Cricetulus griseus: one gene and its partners. The protein of the gene in region 4 interacts with the protein of the main gene of each other region in a pairwise test. Links are inferred from orthologs where the notes say so. Each region holds a gene or a part of one and is shown on either strand. Other genes may lie near its edges.

The links. The genes of interacting proteins can lie anywhere in the genome.
Region 1: the proteins of Bhlhe40 (region 4) and Hivep1 interact in a two-hybrid assay, tested with the Homo sapiens proteins (2 studies listed by BioGRID and IntAct). The link is inferred for Cricetulus griseus from reciprocal best matches to the Homo sapiens genes BHLHE40 and HIVEP1.
Region 2: the proteins of Bhlhe40 (region 4) and Naa50 interact in binary tests that used the Homo sapiens proteins (3 or more experiments, as listed by UniProt). The two-hybrid records come from large-scale screens. The link is inferred for Cricetulus griseus from reciprocal best matches to the Homo sapiens genes BHLHE40 and NAA50.
Region 3: the proteins of Bhlhe40 (region 4) and Stk19 interact in a two-hybrid assay, tested with the Homo sapiens proteins (2 studies listed by BioGRID). The two-hybrid records come from large-scale screens. The link is inferred for Cricetulus griseus from reciprocal best matches to the Homo sapiens genes BHLHE40 and WHR1.

Annotation. Positions count from the first base shown.
Region 1 is NC_048596.1:261,845,080-261,850,954, reverse strand, and holds part of Hivep1 (zinc finger protein 40), read right to left. Parts: intron 3,504-5,875; coding exon 2,998-3,503; intron 1,496-2,997; coding exon 362-1,495; 3' UTR 1-361.
Region 2 is NC_048597.1:46,252,857-46,259,437, reverse strand, and holds the end of Naa50 (N-alpha-acetyltransferase 50), read left to right. Parts: intron 1-129; coding exon 130-249; intron 250-766; coding exon 767-833; intron 834-2,298; coding exon 2,299-2,476; 3' UTR 2,477-5,460; downstream 5,461-6,581. UniProt on the Homo sapiens protein: N-alpha-acetyltransferase that acetylates the N-terminus of proteins that retain their initiating methionine. Has a broad substrate specificity: able to acetylate the initiator methionine of most peptides, except for those with a proline in second position.
Region 3 is NW_023276806.1:231,369,965-231,375,523, reverse strand, and holds the end of Stk19 (serine/threonine-protein kinase 19), read left to right. Parts: intron 1-357; coding exon 358-497; intron 498-2,284; coding exon 2,285-2,382; intron 2,383-2,468; coding exon 2,469-2,616; intron 2,617-2,785; coding exon 2,786-2,831; 3' UTR 2,832-3,125; downstream 3,126-5,559. Other genes in the region: C4a (complement C4-A), read left to right, coding at 3,783-3,847, 3,943-4,135, 4,547-4,748, 4,935-5,005, 5,085-5,173, 5,368-5,450. UniProt on the Homo sapiens protein: DNA-binding protein which is required for efficient transcription-coupled nucleotide excision repair (TC-NER). Acts as part of a TC-NER complex which assembles and interacts with RNA polymerase II (RNAPII) when it stalls at DNA lesions.
Region 4 is NC_048601.1:35,825,677-35,832,745, forward strand, and holds the start of Bhlhe40 (class E basic helix-loop-helix protein 40), read right to left. Parts: upstream 4,551-7,069; 5' UTR 4,228-4,550; coding exon 4,148-4,227; intron 3,982-4,147; coding exon 3,912-3,981; intron 3,637-3,911; coding exon 3,529-3,636; intron 2,502-3,528; coding exon 2,378-2,501; intron 414-2,377; coding exon 1-413. UniProt on the Homo sapiens protein: Transcriptional repressor involved in the regulation of the circadian rhythm by negatively regulating the activity of the clock genes and clock-controlled genes.

The DNA of each region.
Region 1 (5,875 bases), on a different chromosome or scaffold from region 4:
GCCCACAGCCATAAAAATTTATATTTAACAGTGCAACATATAATTTAATAATCTGATTTATTTGACAGGTTCCTACTAAACACAACTACCTGGCTTTCATATACATATATAACATATTTGTATGTATATAGATATTCAACCATCTGTACAGATTCTAAACATAAAACTCCTAAAAGGCACAATTGTCTATACAACATGTACAAAAATGGCTGGAGTTGACACAAAACAACAATTATTGGTCAAAAGTTCATGATTGCACAAAGATTAGTCATGAATTTATGCCAGAAAAATGTGCTTTAAGGAAAGGAAGGTTTTCAAAAAAAAAACCTGTTATTAAAAAAACTCAATAAAAAATAAACCACTAGGTTGCTATGACAAGCCTGTCCTCGTCGTCATCGCTGCTCACATCGCTGAAGTGCACAATGGGTTGCCTGTGGGGTCCTGGGGGCCTGGGAGCTGGTCTGTCCGCAGGGAGCAAGGGAGGCCCTGAAGCCGCAGCCTTCTGTAAAGCTTCCGGTGTGGGTGCCGGCTGCGCCTGCGCAGAGGACCGCCCGGGCAGCACGTGACTCGCGGAGGCCGCCTTGTTGGTGTCCATTTTGCTTGGGCCTTCAGGCCTTGCGTGGTCTGCGGAGGCGCCGGGCGCTGTTTTGGGGGGTTCCTGCGGGCCTTCGGGTGAGCCCTGAGGCGGCTCGGCGCTGTGCCCCTGGGCGGCGGCGGGTGTCTGCAACTCCGGGGCTTTGCTGTTGGCGGCCGCAGTCTCGGGGGTTCCCGCGGTGCCCACGGCCACCGGGCCGGGGCCAACCGAGGGGATCAGGGTGGGCAAGGCGATGTTGAGGATCTGGAGACCTGGAATGTGCGCCTGCGGGGCGGGGCTGCTCTGTGCAGACGCATTAGCCAGAACCTGCAGCCCCACTGCGTTGAGGGCCAGGCCTGGGGGGTGCACCTGCGGGCCCACGGTGGCCTTGGCCAGGCCCACGATGTTGACGGTTTCCATACCCAGGGATGTGAGCGACTGCAGGGCTGGGGAACTCAGGTTCTGCAGGCCTGGCACGTGGATTTGGCCGATGGGGATACATGGCACAACACTGCTCACTTCAGCCACTCCGGTGGGGCGATTGGTAGTGCCAGAAACCTGGGTGATGGTATCCCCAGGGGTACCCGTGGTTCTGTGAATAACACTCACAGCGGGGATGGTAAGTTGCATTGGTCCGGCCTGAATGGGTACAAAAGTGGAGTATGTGAAGGCGGCAGGCACCACATGGATACCGCCAACGGGAACCATGTTGTAGGGGGTCCTTGATTGCTGCTGGGAGTGCAAGGGTAGGTGGCTGAACAGATGTGTCTGAGGGGAAGGTAAGCCGGGGGAAGGCTGCAAGGTTATTTGCTGCTTCGGTTCTTGACTGTCAGAGTGAGGTGAGGCTGAGGAACGAATCCTGGCTGCTGGCTGAGGGTTGAGCTGGGCTACAACAGGAGGCAGTCTTACAGATGATGAGTCCTAAAAGACAAGAGACAATGAGCCTTGGTAACAGAGCCTCCTTCATCATGACTAAGTACTAGTGTGCAGTCTGTTCTTTTCAATGAGTTAAGAGTGTATGTTTCTATTTTACATGTGTTGGCTTGCTAAAAGTTTCAACAACAACAAAGAAACCTTCATTTTTAATTTCTTTCCTACTACAATACCAGAAAAATATTTTATAAGGCACTTTGTAATCTGCAAACCAGCTTCCTGGGTATCATCAGTTTATAATAATAGATGAGCATGGTTATATTTTTATGTTGATGCCATTTTTCTGGCATGGTAACATCACCACTTTATTTTAGAGACTAGGAAATGTTGAGAAATTGCCATATTAGTTGGCTGTGAGCATCAACTCAACTGGGAAAAAAATTAACCGAAAAATTATTCATTCATGAAATGAAGAGCTGTTATGAAGACAAAGGTCTGCAGTTGTTCATTTATTTGCTCACTGACTCGTAAGTTGATAAAATGTCTACTGAAGACTGAATTTTTAGGTACTGGTAGTTATGTGAGAGATGCTGAGATACAGCAGTTAGAACACAGTGTTTAGGGAGGGATGAATCTTGCCTACCCTCCCTTCCACCGGTGAATTTAATCTCATCTAAATACTGCCCCTTTCTTGACAATATATACATGCATTTGTGTGTGTGTGTGTGTGTGTGTGTGTGTGTGTGTGTGTGTGTTTTAGGGAGCTGCATTAGTTCACATTATAATTCAATCTCTATATTAAATTGACATTCAATTAGTTGAGGCTAGTATGTAACATTATAATAGTGGGAAGAAGCATCTTGTCCCATTAAGAAATAAGCCCTGTTGCCTTCTTTCACACCTAGGAGAGGGAAGAGAACTGTCAGGGAGAGACAACTATTTGTTGGTTAGGAGGCAGCCATGGAAAAACATGCAGTGCACTTGCTGTGTGTCTTCCACCGGGAGCTGTGTGTCCGGCCCTGAGCTTCCTCCTGGAAGGAAACCTTCCCAAGCTCTCCCAGCTGTTTGCTCATCCAAACAACATGAATTCTTGAATCATTTTTGTGTCAGGTTAATTTTGTCATGAAGCCTAGTAGCTATTTTCTTGACAGGAGCAAACAAAGCACAGAATTTGGATAACATGCTGTAACCAACCATATCCACGCTAGTGGAAAAACGAGTCAACCACGTGATCCTCAAGTCTCAGGATGTGAGTTTACATTGGTACATACGTATTTTATTGTGATTTTTGAAAACAGAAAATAATAAAGGAGTATTTTTTAAAGAGGCACCATAGGCTATAATACAGTATGTGGATTTTTGTCAAGATAATTAACAAGGCTTTAACAGACATAAATGAATTCTGTCATTGACTATAACAACAAAAAGATACATACTCATATGCTCATAAATGAATTAAAATTTTAATCTATTAGGTTTTCCTAATGGAATAAGAGGAGAAAACGAAAACAAAACAAAATAAAACAAAACCACCACCACCACTCATCTACCTGTATTGAAGCAACAGTCTGTGCAGCTGTGGGGCTTCTCAGAACATCAGATCCGGGGTAATCCACAGACATCTGATGGCCGGGAGACCTGGGGGTAACATCTGGGGACCTGGGAGTGTCTACATGAGGAACTATCTCATGTTCCTCTTTTGCAGTATGGTGCCTGGCCTTTGTTGGTAAGTCTGTCCTGTTGGGGTCAAGCTGTACTGTGCTCAGAACAGTCATCTTGGTGAGTAATGCTCTAGGTAGAATGTCCATAGGGTCTGTGTGTACCCCTGAGAAGCAACTGGGAACTCTAAGGTCCTCCTCTACACTCCCAGGGTCTTGAAGGCCACTTCTGGATGGAAGATGTTGTGGGCTGGCTGTGACTGAGGGTGCTGCTGAGAGGCCAGACTCTGCCTGGCTGTCCTCATCATCCTCTTCATTGTCATTGTCGTCCTCGTCAGGGCCATCAGATTCTTCAGGATCATATCCAGACCGCTCATAACCAAATCTTTGCTTTTCATCTAATATGACAACCAAGAGGAATTGTTACAGAATGCTCTAAAATTACACAAAAACAGTCTTCTCACGTTTAGAAGCTTGGCAACACTCTGTGATGCATACAGAAGATAGGGCTACCCAGAACACACACCAGCAGAATGCTGAGAAGCAGCCAGTCAAGTAGCAGGGACTCAGAGAAGGACATGAGGGTGAGGGTTCAGGTCAGGGTAGCAGGGAGGCACATGAAACCAGCCCTCAAAGAGAAATGGACAAGCAGTGTGAGATGTAATGAAAGCCTCAAATGTATTTGAAAAATTCTAGTATGACAAAAACATAAAAAAAAAATCAACTATTCCTAAGCTTTTTTTTCTATCTTACTATTGTGAGGTCCAAAGGAAACTCCATTTCCCCGAATTCCAAAAGACAGAAGGGACAAATGGCTGTCCGTGGTGCCCATTAGCATAGCAAGCTGGCCTCTAGGCTTCCTCAGTATTTCACGTACTTATTACACACTTCTAAGTCCACTCTAGCTCTTCTTACCTCCTCCCGAAACCTAACTTCCATAGCTCATGGGTTCTCCCCTCCCCCAGTTACTCATTCTCTGTAATACTGCAATTTTCAAGGTTCCCACTCTCTTTGCCTTCCTCCTGGCCTCCTTCTCCCCCTCTCTTTCTCGCTATGCCCCCCCTCCCCAACTCCTGTGCTTGGCTCCTGCTTCTCTTGTGGCCAGGTCCAGTCAGTTTGCCATGTTCAGTTTACCACTTTCTCTGTCTGCTCTAGACATCCATATGCCTCCGCTGTTCTCTCAGACCTATGATAAAAAACTTCCTTCCCCATAACCATGGCGTGGTCATGTCATCAGTTTATACAACTGTATCTTCCTTTTATTAAAGAAATTAGCACACTCTGACTTTGATGGTATTTGATTTGTTAGTAAAATTTGAATTATATCAGAAACATTTTTTAATTGATTTCTTAGTAATAATGCTCATTTGATATTTAAAGCCATACCCCTGTCCCTGTGTGTGTGTGTGTGTGTGTGTGTGTGTGTGTGTGTGTGTGTGTGTGTGTGTGTGTGTGTGTGTGTGTGATCAGTCACCCATGCAGGTGCACATGGAAGCTGAATGTTGACATACTGGCTTCTTCAACCATTTCTCCATATTGTTTTTGAGACAGAGTCTCTCACTGAACCTGAGACTTGTTTCAGTTAGACTGGCTTGCTAGTGAAGCACTGGAAACCTGCCTGTGTCTACTCCCCAGTGCTGTGGTTACAGGCATACGCCGCTATGCTCAGCTTCTTACACGGGGGCTGGGGATCAAGTCCTCATAGCCGCATAGGAAGCACTTTACTCACTAATCATCACCACAGTCGCCTCTCCTCTTTTCAGAATTCACTGGCATTTCTTCTTGTTTCTGTATGAACTGACCAATTTCTTACAAAAACCGAGATAGTATCTACAAATATCATTAATACTAACATCACTTTTCAAGAACTATTCAAGATATTCAAGTAATCCTGTCAAAATTCTTATGCATTCATGTGGAGCTTGATTTAAAAAAAAAAAAGTCACTATTTAAAATCATGCAGAGTGGAAAGCTAACATTTAAGGGAAGGATGAGAAAATATCTACACTATTTCTTTGTCACTAGCCCATATGGGTTCAGACCATATATGGTTTAGTTATATGTGATGCATTTCAATTTTTTTTTTTTATTAAACTAGGACATTGGCTTCAGTTTTGGACTATGGTCAAGAAAGTAACAATTAAACAGAGGAAAACAGAAATAATAGGTTTTATCCTATGCATGGTTCTGAATAGTGGGATAAGATTGTGGCCAGCTTGCTCTGTCTTGTCTGTAACATGGATCAGCCCTTTGTCCAGCGGTAAACAAATACCTGCCTGCTAATCACTTAGTAGCTTGTCTTGGTAGAAGGATGTCGCGCGTGTCAGGTACTGTCGGGTGGGCTGCGGTGTCACTGCTACATACACAACACCCACACCACTTATCCTATCCCACTTGGTCTCAGCCCCGGAGCTTTGCATGCAAGAAGTGTGAACACAGTGCAGAAAACACATTATGGAGGCCACTAGATAATTTTCATTATTATGGTATATTGGTGTAACTATTTTAGTCCATGTGTTATTGCTGCTGATTCTTTACTGTGTCCATGAAAAACAGCATGGAGCACTAGCTGAGGCTGTAGGTACTCACTGATTCTTGGGAAGTAGTCCCTAGAAAAGGAGCCCACTCTTCATTTTTGAAAAATGGAAAAAAAATGCAAACAAATATGCAGTTGATATTTTTACTGCATATTCCAAATATTCATTTATGTTAATATTCTTTCTGCATGGCAATAAATTCTTACAAAGATAAACTCTTACAGAACTATGCA
Region 2 (6,581 bases), on a different chromosome or scaffold from region 4:
AGTCTTGAGGGCATTGATATTCTCAGAAGAGTAGCTAGTTAAAATCTAATGCCTATAACAACTTTTGTTTTTAAAAGGAGCCGATTAAATAAAATGTTGACATTTACATCTTTGTTTTTTCTTTGGTAGCATATTTCAATGATATAGCTGTAGGTGCAGTGTGCTGCAGAGTGGATCATTCACAGAATCAAAAGAGACTTTACATCATGACACTAGGATGCCTTGCACCTTACCGAAGACTAGGAATAGGTAAAAATTATGTGTTTTGTTCTGTTGTTTAAAGAAAACTTGGGAAGCCAGGAGTTGGTGGAGCATGCCTTTAAAGAGGGATCTTTGAGTGTGATGACATCCAGAGCTAAACAGAGAAATCCTGTCCCAAAAAAGAAAATAAGAAAAGAAACTGGGAAGGGAATACTGAATTTTGAAAAGTAAAATGAAAACTATTGCTTAGTGTTCATTTGGAAGTCCCATAAATTTGTTCACATCAGCCTGGAATTATTTGCAATAAAAAGTCATCACTGGGCCATGGTGGCACATGCCTTTAATTCCAGCACTTGGGAGGCAGAGGCAGGCAGATCTGAGTGAGTTCCAGGACAGCCAGGTCTGTTATACAGAGAAACTTTAACACAGTGAGAACAAAAATTGGGGAAATAATGGGTGTCTAGTTATCATTCTAATTCTATGTCAGTACCTAGTAAAGATGGCAAGTAGATGGCAAATTTCAAGGTTGATTTGTAAAGTTATTTGTTGTTTGTCTTATTAATAGGAACTAAAATGCTAAATCATGTCCTAAACATCTGTGAGAAAGATGGCACTTTTGACAACATCTATCTGTAAGTACCTAATGTTCATCTAAGTGTCTGATAAATTATCTCTCTAAATCCCAATCAGAAACATTGAGATCTGTCCACTCTCTGTACATTTGATTGAAAACAGCATGAAGGTATGCTTGTCCCTTGATATCCATAGAGATATAAAAGGGAGATTATAGAGCGCTCATTTGATGAGAGCATTGGCTGTTCTTCCAGAGAACCCCAGATGGTGTCTCAAAAACATTTGTATAACTCCAATTCCAGGGGACCCTGCACCCTCCTAAGTGGTACACAGGTATATTTGCAGATGGAAATGTCCATGCCCATAAAATAATTTTTAGAAAAAAAATTGAGTGCATTTATTTAAGATGTCACAAATTCATATAAAAGTGCGTACTATTTACAGATGACCTATTCCTATCCTCCCATTCTTTAAAGTGACGTAATTTACTTAGGATACCTAGAAAAAAGAAAATGATACAGAAGTTTTTAGACAACTTTATATTTCAGGATTTATTGAATTGTGGTTGGAAATTGTGGGTGATGAGTATTCTTGTTATATTTGGTTTTAGTTATATATAAGGTACCTAAAATGAAACCAAGATTGCAATCTAGGTATTCAGAAGTTTGAAATCATTAATACCAGTAATAGTTGATATATTTTATTCAAGGTTATCAGTAACTTGCTCATTTGTAATAGTTTAATAATCAAAGTTAGAGATAACCTAGTTGAGATTATACTTGAGTCTCAGAAGGCTTCAGTATGAAGAGCCAAGACAGCTTGGCATGGTGGCTCATGTCTTTAATCCTAGCACTTGCACTCAGGTGGCAGAGGCAGGTGGATTACTGTGAGTTTTAGGCCAGCCAGAGAGAGACCCTGTTTCAAAATCAACTAACAAACATAAAGAGCTAAGATAAAAATCACAACAACAGATTGTTTCATATTCATATTGGGGGAGATTAAATTATGCAGTGTCATTCTGGAGCGTAATGAAAGAAGCTCAAGAAGATATATTTAGGCAATTGAGACTGAAATGTATTTTTGCTGTTGTTTTTAGTGTCTATCTTTTCTGGGAGGGGCATGTGCACGAGGTTACAGGTATCTAAGGAGGCTAGAGACGTCAGCAATCTCGAGCTGAAGTTACAGGTGGTTGTGAGCTGCCTGGTGGCAGTGTTGGGTCAGACAGAACTCTGATCCTCTGGTAGACTGAGCCTCATCTCATGATAGTTTAACCTTTGTTATATATAAAAATAGGCACTGATCCTCCTAATCTCAGCCTTCTGCCTTGCAAGTGGGGGAATTAGGTTAAAACTGTAAAATTGTTGTCAGGTTTACTGATAACGAATTGACTAACCTTTGTTAAATATTGGTCATTATAAAGAAAGTGTACAAAATGTAATAGTCTACCTCTGACCAATTTGAAGCTATGTGTGGTTAAGAGTTGAAAGTTGATGAAACTGTCTTATATATGTATCTATGTCTCAGGCATGTCCAGATCAGCAATGAGTCAGCGATTGACTTCTACAGGAAGTTTGGCTTTGAGATTATTGAGACGAAGAAGAACTACTATAAGAGGATAGAGCCTGCAGATGCTCATGTGCTTCAGAAAAACCTCAAAGTCCCATCTGGTCAGAATGCAGAGACACAAAAGACAGACAACTGAACAAATTACAAAAGAACTTTCTTGCACTTGCTTGTCGCCAAATAAAAGAAAGACCCATTGATTCCCCTCCCCCTTTCTTCAGCTTTTCTCCCTTGATATTCCTCCTTTCTTTCCTCTTAAAGTTTGTAATACTTTCAAGGACTCTTAAAAATGATCATGTTTGGATTGTTTCAGTTCTCTTATTTTTGTGAGGTGGTTGGGTTGAAGGAAAGAGAAAATAGGTCTGTATAGTTTCACAGTTAAGATGTCCTCTCAAATTGGGTATCAGATGATTTCAATTTTTTTTAACATCCTGCTTTCACATTGAAGGGCAGAGCCTACAATATTGTTTATTTCAAAAAAAGCCACAGCAATATCTTATTCTCTAATTCATAGACAAGCTTAGTGTATTTGTGGTACTTTGAGTTTTAAAGACTATCTGTGGGATGTTAATCCCTGACATTGCCTTCACTCTACCTTTAGTCCTTTGAGTACTCTCAGGAGTTGGACCATTGTTATCCTTGTGAGAAAATACTAAGCTGATTTAGGGTTTTAAAGCAGTTTTTCTCTATTTGCTGATTGCTGGGGCTGTTTGTGTAGTTAGTATTAGACTTTGATCAAAGTATTTCAGTTAAACTGCTATTTAGCTGATGAGTGGGTTGCTTGTTGGCAGGTGTTTTTTTGTTTTGTTTTTGGTGTTTGTTTTGGTTTGGGGTTTTTTTTTTTTTTTTCTTCCTGCTGTTAATCTTGTTGCTAGAGGCATTAACTTGTAGAGTATGAGCTGGTGAAATTAACTGTTTTAATATCCCAGCTAGAGATACGGCCTTTAACTGACCTAAAGAAGATTGTTACAATTGATTTTTTTCTCTTGTTTTTCAGTAAGCCCAATAATAGTGTAACCTTAAATGGAGTTATATCCTTATAAGCCAATACCCCTAAATAAACCCGAAGCAAGTGTTTTCTCTTGGACATATAAAATTACATATAAAGCTTAGATGGACTTGTAACACATTAAGTGTTACCTAATGTCAACTAATACAGATTGTTAGAACTGTGGTCATTGAGTGTTTGATAATATATGAAAGAATTTCTAGACAGTATTTTTGAAAATAACATTGTTATGCTATTGCTTATCTGTTGGAGAACATCCCAGATTTGCTTACACTCTGTGCCTACAATGTTGAGTTTAAAGAGTTGGAATAAGAGGAATTGACAAATTCCTTCTATTCTTGGAACAATAGAAGTATGAAGTGTTAATACAAATATCACTGTGACCTCCAGTTGACAGGTTTGGTTAAGGCCAGATCATTTACAGGCACATTGGTAGTGGCTCTGATGGGTTGAGAACTATAATGTGGAGACATGTGAGATACTCATATTTTCCTCACATAGCCTCATCTCAAAATACATGGCATTTCTTAGATTGTCAGTAGTCATCAGTGGCTCGAGAAATGTTCTTACTAGACTTTAAAACAGAACATAGTATGTTTTCTCTCATTTGACTTTAAAAGGAAGTTTAATATATCTTCTTTGGAAAATTGTGGTATGAAAGTCTTATTTCCAAATAGGTTAAAAAAATGCTTATGCACACTTTATAACTCTTAAGTTTTTTGCTTGTTTTGTTTTGTTTTGAGAATGTGAAAGTACATTAAGTGGACTTCAGTAGTCTTGAGTGCCAAGAAAATACAGACAAGGGGTGTGATTGATGGATGGACGGACGGATGGATGGATGAATAGGGTAGTGAAATTGTAGAAATACCATGCTTGTTTCTTGGGTATCAGTTTTCTAGACAGTCCAAATCTAAGCTCAAAAGAAAAGTTTAGTGTTAAGCACCTTTATTTCCATGGATAAGCTTCAGCTTACTCTTGCCAAGAGAAGAAGGCATAAATGATAGAGTGGAATTAGTTTGAAGAAGTCAGCCATTTTGTAAACTTCCAGATAGCAAATAGATTTTGATATATAAAAAGTTTTCTGAGATGACACTGCCTCTATTTCTATAACCATTTCACTTGGACTATTTGAGTAGTCCTATGAATGTATCCCTAAATGTGTTTATTGAAACCGAATAGCTGCCTCACAACAATTAAGTACATGTTATTTAAAGAGGAGGAACAAATAATAAAGTTTGAATTGAGTGTGTAGGCTCCCTATTATTATTTCCTTTTTCACACTAGTCGGTGATTTAACCTAAATTTTAATTGTATGTAAAGGGTCAATTGTCCTGTATCAAAGTTGCATTAAATAATTCCATCCACTTACATAAGGGGAAGATGTGAAAGAGGTAGAAACTGGGGCTAGTCCATATGCCTGTGAGTCAAGAAATGCTAAAGTAACACCCCATGTTAAGTTTGTGATTTTTGGTTTGGGTTTGTTTGTTTTGGATTCTTTTGTTTTGTTTTGTTTGTTTTTCGAGACAGGGTTTCTCTGTGTAGCTTTGGAGCCTATCCTGGCACTCGGCTCTGGAGACCAGGCTGGCCTCAAACTCACAGAGACCCACCTGCCTCTGCCTCCCAGGTGCTGGGATTAAAGGCAGGCGGTACCAATGCCTGGCTCTTTGTTTTTAATATATGATAAAAAGAAAAATAGCCTTTGAGGTAAAGCAGTAATTCTGTTAACTGGAAATCTCCATCATTTTTCAGGACAGATAATTTTTACTGTGGGGTAAATAGGTTAAAATTATTATGTATGCTATTTGAATTTAAGTTCTAAAGTAATCTGTAGAGAAATCTATGCAATATATAATTTGTCAAGATTAATTTTCATCTGGGGAAAGGAGTTTCTAAGTGTCTCCAAAGCAGGTCACTCATTAATTGAAAGTCCTCCAAAAAGAGAACTATTGGGAAGCATGGTGTGTGGTGGTGGAAAAGAAAAACTCCCTCAGTTTTTGGAGGGAATATCTTTAAGATACTTAAGTGGCTGCGTTTACTTGGTGCAGTTAAGAATTAAACTTGTCAATTTTAAAGTTGCTGTTACATCTGAAATAAACTTACGTGATGTTCTGGTAGTGATCTGTCTGTAAATGTCATGAAACTCATTGTTGTGCTGAGTTTTACAGTCTGCAACTGTAAGTCGTTGTGTACTGTGACCCATACTGTTTTCTATTTCTTTAAGACCTAATTTAAAACTTACTAAAATAGTTCAGGTATACTTAGGGCTTAGCTAATTCAGACCTTGATAAAAACTGTCCAACAGGTGGGCAGCAGGCAACGTAGCCAGACCAGCTCCATCCCACAGAAGCCCCAGACCAACAAGTCTGCCTATAACAACTGCAGTTGTGGGGGTGGGGGTGCAGCTGAGGACCTGACTCTCTTCTGGTCCCATTTTCTGAGAGGCCCTCTCACCCTGTAAACTGGATGGAAATAGCATCGAAGAGAAAAAAGAATGTGGGGCAGTTATCTGCTGCATACCTCAACTTCAGTCCCATACCACCCTGCTACATGTGTTACAGGATTTGTATTTTCTCCCCTCCCTCCTTCCTCTTCCTTGCAGTCAAGATTATGAAGCTTCACTTCTTCCTGTTTACCCTGGTTGTATATGGATGAGGTGGGGAGGTTAACCCCCTCCCCAATATATAACAGCCCTAAATCTTTATTATTAGTGAGGTAAACCAAATAACAAAAAAAAAATGGCATAAATATGAATAGCATTGTCAGATTGAGGGGAGGAAAAAAAAATCCCTGACCAATGTGTCTGTTTACTCAGAGAAAGAAAAGTAAGATCCACAGAGGTGAATGTAATTATTTAACATTTTAGGCTTTGTTCTAGTGTGTATGGCCTGTAAATATGCATATTCTGATTTATTCTCCCCCTCTTTGTTATGAAGATTTTAGTAGTTGAGTGAGACAGATTTTTTTTTCTTAACAAATGTTTAATATTTCTAATCAGGATGGTCTGAATTAGCACTTCACTTATTCTACAAGAAACAATGGATGATTGTGTGTCTTGGATACTATATCACTCCAAAATCCAGCAGTTTCAGACCACGGATTTGTTGGATCCCGTTATATACCAATCAAGCAATGTGTGACTTTTTCAGTTCTGATATAAGATCTTATGCCATCAATTATCCAGGGCTGTATTTTCTTGAAGGGTTGATAATGGCTATAGGAGCTACTTCATCGAACT
Region 3 (5,559 bases), on a different chromosome or scaffold from region 4:
TGAGAGAGAGACTGCCTGTGTGTGAGAGAGTGCTGGGCAGGGGAGGGCAGGGAGGTTGGGCATAGAGACAACAGAAGGAGCATGATCCATAGCACACATCTCATAAACAGGGCCCAGAGCTCTGGTAAATAGCGAGATGGGGGGGAGGGAGGGAGGAAAGGAGGGAGGGAGGGGGGAGGGAGGGGGGAGGGAGGAGGGTGGGTATGGGGCAGGCGAGAAGCGGGGAGCAGGGAAACAGGTTTGCAAAGTGGAAGGACCCAAGGGAGAGAGGACTCAGAAGAGAATGCTGTCCTGGGAATGGAGAACCACAGTGGAGGGTGGGGTCATGCTGTTCACAGACATCAACTCTGCTTCCAGGTCCTTAAGGCCTGTGATGGCCGACCATGTGCTGGGGTGGTGCAGAAGTTCCTGGCCTCCGTGCTCCCAGCCTGTGGGGATCTTAGTTTCCAGCAGGACCAGATGACCCAGACTTACGGCTTCAGGGACCCGGAGATCACGTGAGGCATTGTGGGGTCAATAGGTCAGGCCTCTGGCAGCCCTTTCTTTCTCAGTGAGCTTGTCTTTTTTTGGTTGGTGACGTGAACCCCACCCTGTAAGATAACAGGCCATGGAAGAGCTTGGACTAGGAATCAGGAGGGAGAGAGGCTGGCCAGATACAGAGGCCTAGCGGGAGCCATGCCTAACGGTACTTTGATAACACAATGGTGAGGCTGCAGTGTCCCTAGAGATCACACTCACAGGGTCCCCTACAAAGAGCAGGGGAAAATACTAGCCAGTGCAGGAGTTTGGGGTGCCTAAGTCTGGCCTCCTGTTTTCTAACTCCCTGGTGTATGAGAGGATCTCCCTGGGAAGTGGCAGGGGCTGAGTGGGGGGAGGTCATGGTTATGGTGGGCCCTGAGGTGACCCTCACTCCTCAGGCACATTCCAGGCTGTGGGCAGGGAAGCCTCTTAAGGAAACAGTCACCGCAATGACTGGGGAGCTGGCTGGCTTGGTGATGTGCCTGCTGCTCGAGCACAAGGATCAAGTGAGTCCTGGTCCCCAGTAACCACAGACTGAGTGCAGCAGGTGTCTGTGACCCCCCTGCTGAAAGGGCAAAGGCAAGTGGATCCCTATAGCAAAGTGTAGTCAAACCAGTGAGCCCCAGGTTCAGTGAGAGACCCTAGCTCAAAAAACAAGGTCAAACCAGGCATGGTGGTGCACACCTCTAATTCAGCATTTAGTGGGCAGAGGCAGGTAAATCTCTGAGTTTAATGCCAGCCTGATCAGCATAGTGAGTTCCAGGATGGCAAGGGCTACATAGAGAGACCCTGTCACAAAAAAAGAAAACAAAAAACAAAAAAAAAAGGAGGAGGAATGGGATTGGAGAGATGACTCAATGGTTAAGAGCACTGGCTGCTCTTCCAGAGGACCTGGAGTTTGATTCACAGCACCCACAAAATGGCTCACAACTATCTGTAACTCCAATCTCAGGGGATCCAATACCCTCTTCTGGCCTCCACAGACCATGCATGTGGTGTACAGACATACATGTAGTCAAAACACCTATAACATGCAATAAAAAGGTTGAGAGTGATTGCACATATGTGATGTATACCTGTGGCCTCTGTGATTGTGTGTCTGCACACACACACACCCACACACCACACACACCACACTCACCACACACACTCACACACACACACCATACACACCACACTCATCACACACAAACTCACCACACACACACACACCATACACACATACACACCACACACACCACACTCACCACACACACGCACCACACACACACACGCACACACACACACACACACACACACACCACACCACACACACACCATACACACATACACACCACACACACCACACACACACTCACCACACACACACTCACCACACACACACACGCACCACACACACACACACACCATACACACATACACACCACACACACACTCACCACACACACACACACCATACACACATACACACCACACACACCACACTCACCACACACCACACTCAACCACACACACACCATACACACATACACATACACACCACACATATACACACACACACACACACTCACCACACACACCGAGGTTACAGGGAAAAAAGTGCGAGGATGCTCAGGCAGGGATGGTGGAGCCAGTAAGGTCATTGGTTTCTGCCTTGGTTGCCTGTGTTGCTGGACACTTAGTGTCCAAACATCAGCAGTTTTGGGGGGCGGGATGCAGTTCTCAGAGCTCTGGCTGCATCGTCCTGGCCTCCCACCACCTGCAGGCACCTGGTGAACGCTGGAGTCCTCACTGTCCGAGATGCTGGGAGCTGGTGGCTGGCCGTGCCTGGAGCTGGGAGATTCATCAAGTTCTTTGTCAAAGGTGTGGTGCCTACAGGAACGTCCTTTGGGCAGCTTTAGGTCTCCACACCCAGCTCACCTCTTCCTTTTCCTGGGCCACATCTCCAGGGCGCCAGGCTCTACTCAGCATGCTGCGGAGGGCCAAGTACAGGGAGCTTCTCCTGTCAGAGCTCCTGGGGCGAAGGTCCCCGTCGGCAGTGAGGCTCGGCCTTGCCTACCACGTGCATGACCTCATTGGAGCCCAGCTGGTGGACTGGTGAGTCCAGCCCTGAATCTCAGGAAAATGCCATGACCCAAGGTTGGGCGTCCCCCAGGTCACGCTTCATTCCCTGGTGAAGCCCACTTCCTCTCCTCTTTTCTGGGGCTCGGGAGCACCCTGTGCTCAGTTCTAGGCGGCTGGCTCCAGCCTCATCTCTCTCTGACAGTGTGCCCACCAGCTCTGGAACCCTCCTTCGCCTGCCAGATACGTGAGGAGTCGACTCCTGGACTCTTCAGCTCACAGAGTGAGGTTCCTGGAAGCGCTGCCCCTGGACGGCTGAGCGGGTCACCGGGATGGGTGCCAGGCCCTGCTGCTGCAAGCTGGGGCTCCAGCCTGAGCTGCGCTGTGTGCGCTGCAGCTCTGGGCTTCTGTGGGTGTGAAGCCAGGAGCCGTGCCGAGGGGATAGGAAGGTGGGATTGATCGCTGGGGTTGCTGTCGGAGGGAGCAGGGAACTCTGCCCTCTGTGTCAGGTTGAAATTGCCAAATAAAATACTTGTGTCTATGCAGTCTTCTCGGTGTCCTTTGTTTAGAGTGATATGTGTGCAGGTGTCTGTGGCTACTTCAGAGTGAGAACAAGGTTACTCAGGCCATTTTCCCCATGGGGGTGAGGGTGTGCCCATCTTCTGAACCACAGGCTTTCTGTTAGAGCCTGTACCAAGCAGAAGACTGCAGTTGAGTCTGTCTGGAATGTAAGAGGCAAGGGTCTCTGAAGCCATTCCTGTTAGGAACTTCAACTGCCCTGTCCATGTGCCATGTTGGAGCTGTAGGAACGCACACACGGGCGAGCACATGTGCGCACGCACGCACACATACACACACACACACACACACACACACACACGCACACACGCACACACGCACACACGCACACACGCACACACGCACGCACAGACACACAGAGTTAAGGGAGGTGCCTGGTACTGGGGATAAACAAGCACAAAGATTCATTTTGGGGCCAAGATTTCTTCAGAGACCCTGGTGTTGGGCCGCTTCCCCAGCACTGGGCCTAGGGCCAGTTGCGTTTCTTGGCCATCACGTGGTTTCCCGGCTCATCTGGGTGAGGGAGGAGCAAGGTCCAGAGTCAAACTGCCCCAACCCTAGGGTGACCAGAAGGGAGCAGACGTCAGACCAGACAGGTCTGACCTCCGCTGGACCCTGCAGCCATGCGGCTCCTCTGGGGGCTGCTCTGGATGTTCAGTGTCTTTGCCTTGTCCCTGCAGAAGCCCAGGTCCTGGGGCAAGACACTGGGCTTGGGTGGGGCGGGGTGAGGGAGAGGGGTGGTGGGGTGAGGCTGGGTCTGAAGCACCTTCACTGTCCTCCCAGGCTGCTCCTGTTCTCCCCCTCAGTGGTTAATTTGGGGGTCCCTCTGTCAGTGGGGCTGCAGCTCCAGGATGCCCCTCCAGAACAGCAAGTAAAAGGATCCGTGCTCCTGAGAAACCCAAACGGCGGCCCTTGCTCCCCAAAGACGGATTTTACCCTCAGCTCAGGAAATGATTTTGTACTTCTCAACCTCAAGGTAACCAGCGCCCACACCCCTGCTGCGTCTCAGGCCTTCCTGTTGCACCCCATTGCCTGTTTAGTTACAGACAGGAGCTTCCTATGCAATAGGCTGGCTTTGAACTCATGGCAATCCTCCTGCCTCAGCCTCCTGAGTGCTGAGATTTACCTGGTTCCTCCGTTGCCTTTATGTTTACTTTTGGTTTTGAAAGAGGGCTTCATGGAATAATCTAGGTTGCCTGTAAATGCTCAGCAGCCTTCCTCTGGCCTCAAAGTGTTGGGGTTACTGCCATGCGCCATCATGGCTGGCCTTTCTGTTGCTTCTCAAGCCCTATCTTTCTGACTTCCTCCTCTCTTCCAGGGTCTTGGTGTCCCTATCTTGGGCTCTGTCCCTTTCTTCTTAGGCAGCCTCTCCTGCATCTCCTGACAGGTTCCACTGGAAAATGTGAGGGACTGTGGTCTCTTTAACCTGCGCAGAGCCCCCCATGTCCAGCTGGTGGTTCAGTCTCCGTGGCTGAAGAATGTAATGTCCAAAGCCACAGACACTCAAGGAGTCAACCTGCTGTTCTCTGCTCGCCGTGGACACATCTTTGTGCAGACTGACCAGCCAATTTATAACCCTGGCCAGCGGGGTGAGCCCCTGGCCCCAGGGCCTCTGCTTTGCCTCTCTCCCAGGCTGCTCAGAGCATGTTTGATGCCCTCTGTGTAAGGTGTCCTCTGTGACTCCATGGACAGCAGCCGTTTAGACCCACTGTCTCCCCGCAGTTGTCCCCTGTCCCTTTGCCCAGGGGCTCTAACCTCTCACCCTCCACTCTTAGTTCGTTACCGGGTCTTTGCACTGGATCACAAGATGCGCCCATCCACGGACACCCTCACAGTCACGGTGGAGGTGAGTGCCTGACCTCTGACCTTCCTGATCCTGTGCACTGATGCAATCTCCCACCTGACCACACTGACTCTCCTTGCAGAACTCTGATGGCCTTCGTGTACGGAAGAAGGAGGTATTTGTTCCCACGTCCATCTTCCAAGACAGCTTCATAATCCCAGACATCTCAGAGTAAGCCTCCTCGCCTCAGGGCACCCCCTGTCTACACCACCCCAAGTCCTGATTCCCTTGGCATGCCCACCTCTGATACGCAGGGTCACATTCCAGATGCTCTGGCCCTGTGTCCCCCAAGCCTCTTCTGGGGGATTCAGGCCATGGGCTGTCTGTGGGTGGGTAGCCCAGCTGTCTCTCTTGTTCATTCTCAGGCCAGGGACCTGGAAGATCTCAGGGAGGTTCTCAGACAGCCCACAGTCCAATAGCAGCACCCACTTTGAAGTGAAGAAATACGGTGAGTGCTGAAGCCAGGGGTTGAGACCAGGGTGTGAGGCAGGGCAGCCCTGGGGGAGGGAGATTTGGAGGACTCTTTCTCTAGTACCGCGCTCATCTCTTTATGCTAC
Region 4 (7,069 bases):
GTGATCACTTTTGAAGTATGACTGCTCACTGCGCAGGTCACCCTTCTCCAATTCGCCACCATAGCCACTGTCTGTGTCCGTGTCACTGCCACTCTGCTCCCCACCGGAAGGGGCAAAAGTCCGCTGGATGACTGGCACACAGTTTTTCCCAGGCCCTTCCGATCCCTTGGCCAGGAAGCTGGGTTTCTCTTTGAAGTCCATGGCTTTGGGAGCCGAGTCCGATGGTTTCCTGGAAGTTCCACCCTGCAGCAGCTCGGAGACAACACGGTGGAGATGAGTGACAAGCTGAGAAGACTTCAGGTCCCGAGTGTTCTCATGCTTGGCCAGGTACTGAAGCACTTCCCGGGCACACGTCTGGAACCCTGAGCAGAACATTTCTTGTCCTGCTTCAATATTTCTTCCTGACAGCTCACCTGGGGAGAAAGACCCAGAAAGAAGGGTTTTAGAAGGGTGTTTGGTACACCAGAGGTTTCCTTTTTGTTAAAAACAAACAAACGAACAAGAAAACCTATCCATTCGCATTCCCAACTCCAAAAGTAGTGTCTATAGAATTATGCTGAAAAGTATAAAAAATGAAATCAGTATTTTCCTACCACTTAAGAGACAGATTTTTTTTCTTTTATGCTTGGGCTTTGATACTAAGTATAGTGGTATATCACTAGGCTATGTACATTCCACTGTCCCAAATAGTAATTTTTAATGACTGTATAGTAATAGAACAAATTACTTCTACTCTTAGTATCTGCAGTTTTTCTTGTGACACACAAAAAAAATGAACATGCTAAATAAAGTTCAACAATCATACCTTAAAAAAAAAAAATGAGGCAGTCTCATTGTAGCCTGGATTGATGTTGGGTTTACTCTGCAACCCAGACTGGCCTTGAACTCATGTTGAGCCTAACTTCAACTTTCAGAGTACTGGGACTACAAAAGCTACCACCCCCACCCCCACTCAGTATAGCAACAGTCTGACGAAAGCAGAAGGCTGGATGGTCATAAATAGTATAGAGACCACCTAAAGACCCCTGCCCCAAGCCGGGTGTTGGTGGCGCACACCTTAATCCCAGCACTCCGGAGGCAGAGGCAGGTGGATCTCTGTGAGTTCGAGGCCAGCCTTGTCTCCAGAGCGAGTGCCAGGATAGGCTCCAAAGCTACACAGAGAAACTCTGTCTCGAACCCCCCCCCCAAAAAAAGACCCCTGCCCCCAACCGGTACCCACACCTTTTAAAGACAGGGTCTCCCTAATTAGCCTTAGTTGGCTTGGAATTTGATATACAAAAGAGGCTGGCCTTGAACTTATTGGGCTCTGTCTCTGCCTCTCAAGTGATAGGACTACAGGCATGCATCACCATGCTGTAAAAATGTAGCTCACACCTGCAATCCCACCACCATTTGGGAGGTTGAGTCTGAAGGATTGCTTCTGTGTTTTTGGAAAGCCAGGACTACACATATTGAGACCTTGTCTCAAAACAAGAACAAAACAGAATGATGACAACAACCCCCCCCCCAAAAAAAACAACTTTCGTACACACAAAAACCTAGCCTATTAAACAACAGTTGCATTTCCCCTATGAACTTTGACTGGGCTCTTTAAGTCTTTTCCATATACTGTATCCATGACTCCCCTAGAGATCAGTTCTGATCAACTTTCTATTTTTAGAAAGAAAACTGGCAGACATACTGGCTTGGTTTTTGTGATTCTCATATTGGCCTTGGCCAGGACAGAGAAGAATGCCTGAGGGGTACTTGTAAAGGATTCCCCCTGGCCTGTACTGTATGATCTGGAAGGGAGAGAAAGAAGGTCAGACGGTGTCTCTGAGTCTCTGAAACTCCGTAGAAATGAATGATGAAACCAGTGGTTTCACTAGATTGTGCAATTCGACAAGATACCTAGTGGCTATTCAGGGAACCACAATGAAATACAGGGGAGAAAAAAAAAAAAAAAAAAAAAAAAAAAAACTACTGTCATCCTGCCAAGACTGCACCCTATATCCAAAGACAAGGAAACAAAGAAACAGGAAAACACTAGGGGCAGACCCTTGTTCTGTTCACCCATGACCGACGGCTCAGATCAACTGTAAATCACCCACAATGCAAATTACAGGAGTCTTGGCATTTTAAAGGAGAATGGGGAAGTCTCCCAGATCCTAGACACTCTCAGGCCAAAATGTCACATTTCATCACTGGACTAATATGTATTCATTCCAGGTGGCACACAGCAGCATTCTGAATGGAAAGTATGACCTTTTAGGAAACAGAAAAGCATCTCTTCTAGTGGATGTGCGAAAGTGAATGGTGACAGGAGGGTCAGAAGCACAGTGAGCCCAGGGCTCTAAAGAGGGAGCACTCAGAAGATACTATCAGACCCAACACTCACCAGCTTGCAGACCGCTCTGCAGGGCAATGATTTTTTGCTGCTGCTGATCAATTAGATTTGTCAATGCTTTCACATGCTTCAAGGTGAGCTCCAGAACCACTGCTTTCTCCAAGTGGCCCAAAGTCTGGAGGAAAAAAACAAAGAGCTTCTGTCACCTGTGAAGTCGGAGAAGTCCCCACAGACACTTATTTGTGATGAGAACTGGGTGTAAACAACAGCAAAGACAGGAAGGGCCTTTCCCGCTTTACTAAGTTTAAAGTTTGCAGATGTTTTAACATATACACATAGATGACCAAAGGATTAAAAACAAACAAACAAAAAAACATGTGTCATCTATCTTTGGAGGCCTTTTGGTAGCTGTTACAGTCTCAGGAGTGAGCTGACAGATAGATTTCTCCAGCAGCTGCCCTGACCTTAACTCAGGGGACTCCAGAGATAGCATTTCTCTGCTGTGGTGTCAACCCAGTGAGGAACATCTACTGTGTCTGGCAACCAGGAGGCTTTCCCTCCCCTCCCGTGTGTGTGTGTGTGTGTGTGTGTGTGTGTGTGTGTGTGTGTGTGTGTGTGTGTTTCCCTGACACCCTTTTAGAACTTCAGCTCGGCTTTCCCTCCCCTCCCGTGTGTGTGTGTGTGTGTGTGTGTGTGTGTGTGTGTGTGTTTCCCTGACAGCCTTTTAGAACTTCAGCTCATGAAGGCTTTTCATCTTCCCTTCCAAATACTTTTCACGAAGGAATAGCTAGAAAGCTTTTGGCTACTAGTAAAGGATATGACGGAAAGAAACACACACACACACACACACACACACACACACACACACACACACGGGATGGAAGATGGAAAAGGAAAAGGGCTTAATTTGTGTTTGTGTGTGCGAGTGAGCCTTTAAGTCAGAACTACAAGGCGATGGAAATTACCAAAAGGGAGCTATGCTAGTGTTGGAACCAACTTAAAGAGGCCTCAGAGAGTGATGGTTCTGCCTTTGCCTGGAAGTCCTGGGACTAGGGATGGGTTCCCTCCAACCCAGAACTACCCGGAGCTTTGATCCGCCCGTCTAGCCTGCAGTTCCTCGTGACGCCTGCAGGCGGCGAGTGACCCCCACCCGCCCTCTGGGCAGAAGAGCTGGGTTGGAGCAAGGCCAGCTTCTCACTTACTGTAAGTTTGAGGTGTTCGGGTAGAAGATCTTTCAGCTGGGCAATGCACTCGTTAATCCGGTCACGTCTCTTTTTCTCAATCAGCCGATGCGGCAATTTGTAAGTTTCCTGCAAGGAGTACGTGGAATGATGGGTGCCTGGGAAAGGGAAAGCGAAGCCTCCCTTCCTCCCCTCCCGGCAGCAGGGAAAAAATCCTGCAAGGGCGCAGATCAGAGACGCACCCAGAATCACCTTTTCTGTCCCTTCTTTCCCAAGTCACTCAGGTGTGACAATGAGCTCACCACATCTTGAACCCCCAAGCCAACCTCCAGGCAAGCAAACTTTTCTTGGAAACTCAGCGCACGCGAGGGACTAGGGAAGGGGTCCCCAGAGGATGCACCTACCTTGCTGTCTTCGCTCCGTTTTATCCCCCTTCTGGACTTGTACACTTGGTACATGTGGGCAAAATCCATCCTGTAGGGAAAGGGGACAGAAAGAGCCGTGACTCCCGAGTGTGCACTGGCTGCAGGAGCCCTACTGATGCAAGAATCCCCGTGTTCCCAGAGGTGCCCCAAGTTGAGAGAGGCGCAGAATACATAGCTAGGAGCGGAGACTTGATGGGGTCACAGTGCACACTTACCCTGACAGGTCTCCGTGCTCCAGTCCTGGCGCTTTAGGCAGGCAGGTAGGAGGTGGTTGCGCGCTGGGGATCCGCTCCATGATGCGGCGAGCCGGGGCCACTGCGCGCTCCTGTCTGCACTTAGCAGAGCGTCCGAGGGAGGACTGCCCTGGAAGGGAGGATCCGAGGGTCTCAAGGGGTATGTTCCTCTGAGCTAGCCTGAGCTCCCTTGCAATGAGCTGGGCTGCCAGGAGCCGCGGCTTTGAGGCGTCGCTTAGTTGGGGGCGTGCATGGCCGGGTGTCCCCGCGGCTTCTGGCTCCCGCTCTGCGCACAGACTGGCGGTGTGTGCTCGCTGCGCTGTCTGCGCCTTGCGAGCCAAGTGAATGAGAAGTGGGGCGGGCGGGGAGGCGGGAGGGAAGGGAGGTTGCTTAGGGCGGAGCGGGGGGGGGGAGTTGTTGGAGGGGAAGAGCCGAGGAGTAAGGAGAGGCTGCGGGCTGGGTTAAATGGGAGCGAGTGGGTGGGTAGAAGCTACGTGTTCTACCCTGTGACTCCAAGCACGTCTGGCCGCTGCCGGGGAGGGAAGGAGCGACCTGCCCGCCCTCCCCCGGCTTCATCACATGAGTCTCACGTGTTGGACAACGCTCTGGCGGCTGCGAAGTGCCCCCCCCCACCCCAACCTCGGGCCCCAGGTGTCTGCGGCTGCGGCCTCCTTTCCCCGAAAGAGGGGGTGGCAGCGCAGCCCGAGTCCTGCCCAGCTGGGTGGGGGGCACGGAAGCTGGAAGGAACTGGGGGGGAGGGGGGTTGGTAACGTGGGCGAACCTGCCCCAGGGAAATGAAGTAAGTTCCCGTCTCCTGGGAGGGAACGGGGGAGGACGGATCCGCCCGCGTCTGACTCAAGCCGGGAGAGGAATATCCCCTCGGTCGCTCCAGCCCAGCCCTCTTCCTCCTCCCCCGCCTGGCCCGCTCCTAGGAACCGGTGCGCAGCGGAGGGAGTCGTCGCCCCCCTCTTGGCCTTCCCCAGAGGCTGGGGTTTCTTTCCGTCCCCGCTTCCCAGCCCCCCCCCCTCCCCAGCGCTCACCCCAGTGTCCAGGAATTGCCCGCCTTGGGGAGGGACCGAGGGCGGGGCGGATGTCACCCCATGGGAAGCGGGCAGGCGGCCAGGCGCTAGGGCAGCCGAGGCCGCCGCCGAGCACGCCGCGCGCACCTGACCGTGGACCGTGTGAGCTGCGCCGGCCCCTCACTCTCCCGGGAGCTCAGCTCCGGGGCGCAGCCTGCGGGTGGCCCGGCACCCGACTGGCGCGCACCCATCTCCTCCCGCCTTTCAGGGTGCCTCACTGCCCCCACCCACCCTGGCTAGTCAAGCACAGAAAGATACCGGGCACAGTGCCCAGCGTTCCCTCCCTCCTCTGCCCCCTCCGGAGCAGAGGCGTCCGGGTCGCCTCCCCTCCGGCTGCAGCGTTACACAACCGCGGCGACGGCGCCTGCCCTGCAGCAGCGCGGGGCGTGACGCTTCACGTGGCCCGGACGCGGGTCGTAGCTCCGCTCGCTGCAAGCCTCTGCACCGGCATCCAAGCTGTGACCCCCGCGCACAGGGGCTGCCAGCCTGCAGGGGATCCCGCTGCTAACCAGGAACTTGGGTGGCGCTGTTTGCGGTCTATTCCAGGGCAGGAGGAGAAAAGAAGGGGAAAAAAATTTAAAAAACCTCTTGGCCTATCAGAGTGAAATCTCCACATTTATGAAGCACACATTCACTGAGCCCCTTTCCCATTGTTAGACTTCGTGCTAGAGACAGTGGAGAATCAACTGCGGATTTTGACCTTGAATTTACAGGGACCTTGGGAACGAGGCCAATCAGAAGACAGCCTTCATCAGAAAGTCTATCGGGGTCACCGGCAGAGAACAAAAGATGAGGTTTTAATTTAATACTAACCAAGACGTTTAGGTAGTAGAGGTTAACTCGCAGAGCCTTGCGTGGGGCACAAAGGGTAGCTCCAGCAGCCCCAGCTCTCAGCGATCTCGCTTAGCTCCTCCCCCCGCCCCCCACCTGCCTTGGAAAAGTCTGGTCTCTTTGACCTTCTAACAGCCCGGAGCTGGGAAAGCATCTGAAACGCAGAACCTGCGGCGCTGTGAGCTACGCTGACACGCAGCAAGGGGCCAGTGGAAATTGATGACTAAAATGAGGCCTGGCTGGGGATTTCACTGACCTCTGCGCTCCCCTGCCCTGCAAATTCGGAGAGTTGAGAGATGACTGTTAACCTTCCCCCACCGTGCTTGGGGTCAGTCACCCTGCTGCTGCGAAGTGACCTGGCTGGGGAATGGGGGGCGGGGCATGGGGTCACTGCTGGGACGGGGTGCAGTTTTGGGGGTCAGCCTTAATTGGCAGTATTCTGACGACCTGGAGAACTGGGATTCACATGTTGACCAAACTGGGAGTGCATTTCCTTCAGGTCGCTCAAGCTTCCACTTCCTGTTTATGTTTCACAAGCGTCAAACCCATTAGCAAGTGTGAGAAATGATTGCTTTTCTAACTGTTCACTGGCTGACCTCACTTTGGGGCTTAGAGATCCATTCCTGGACGGATGTTATTTGGCGGGTTATCATCAATCTCTGGAGGGAATGAATGCTCCCACCTTCCTGCCAGGAGGTGGGCAGCAGGACCAGAGGCTAAGGCTTGGGTGGGTTTTGCTGGGGAGTGGGGGGAGTGCGACCTTCTGCTGACTCTAAGGTGGAAGCGTTGTCATGGTTGCCTCAAAACCATAGTATCACCAGGAAATAAGCTCTGTCAGAGGAAGGAGCATATGTCCTCCCTTGTGCCCCCTCCCCCCTACTCCCCGCCATGAGTGAATACTGCAATTCTGTTGTTTGGTTCATGGCTGAGGAAAATATCCTTAAAAGTATTTGAGTGATCAGTACATTTCCGTTTTTACTTGCGTTGCAGTTGG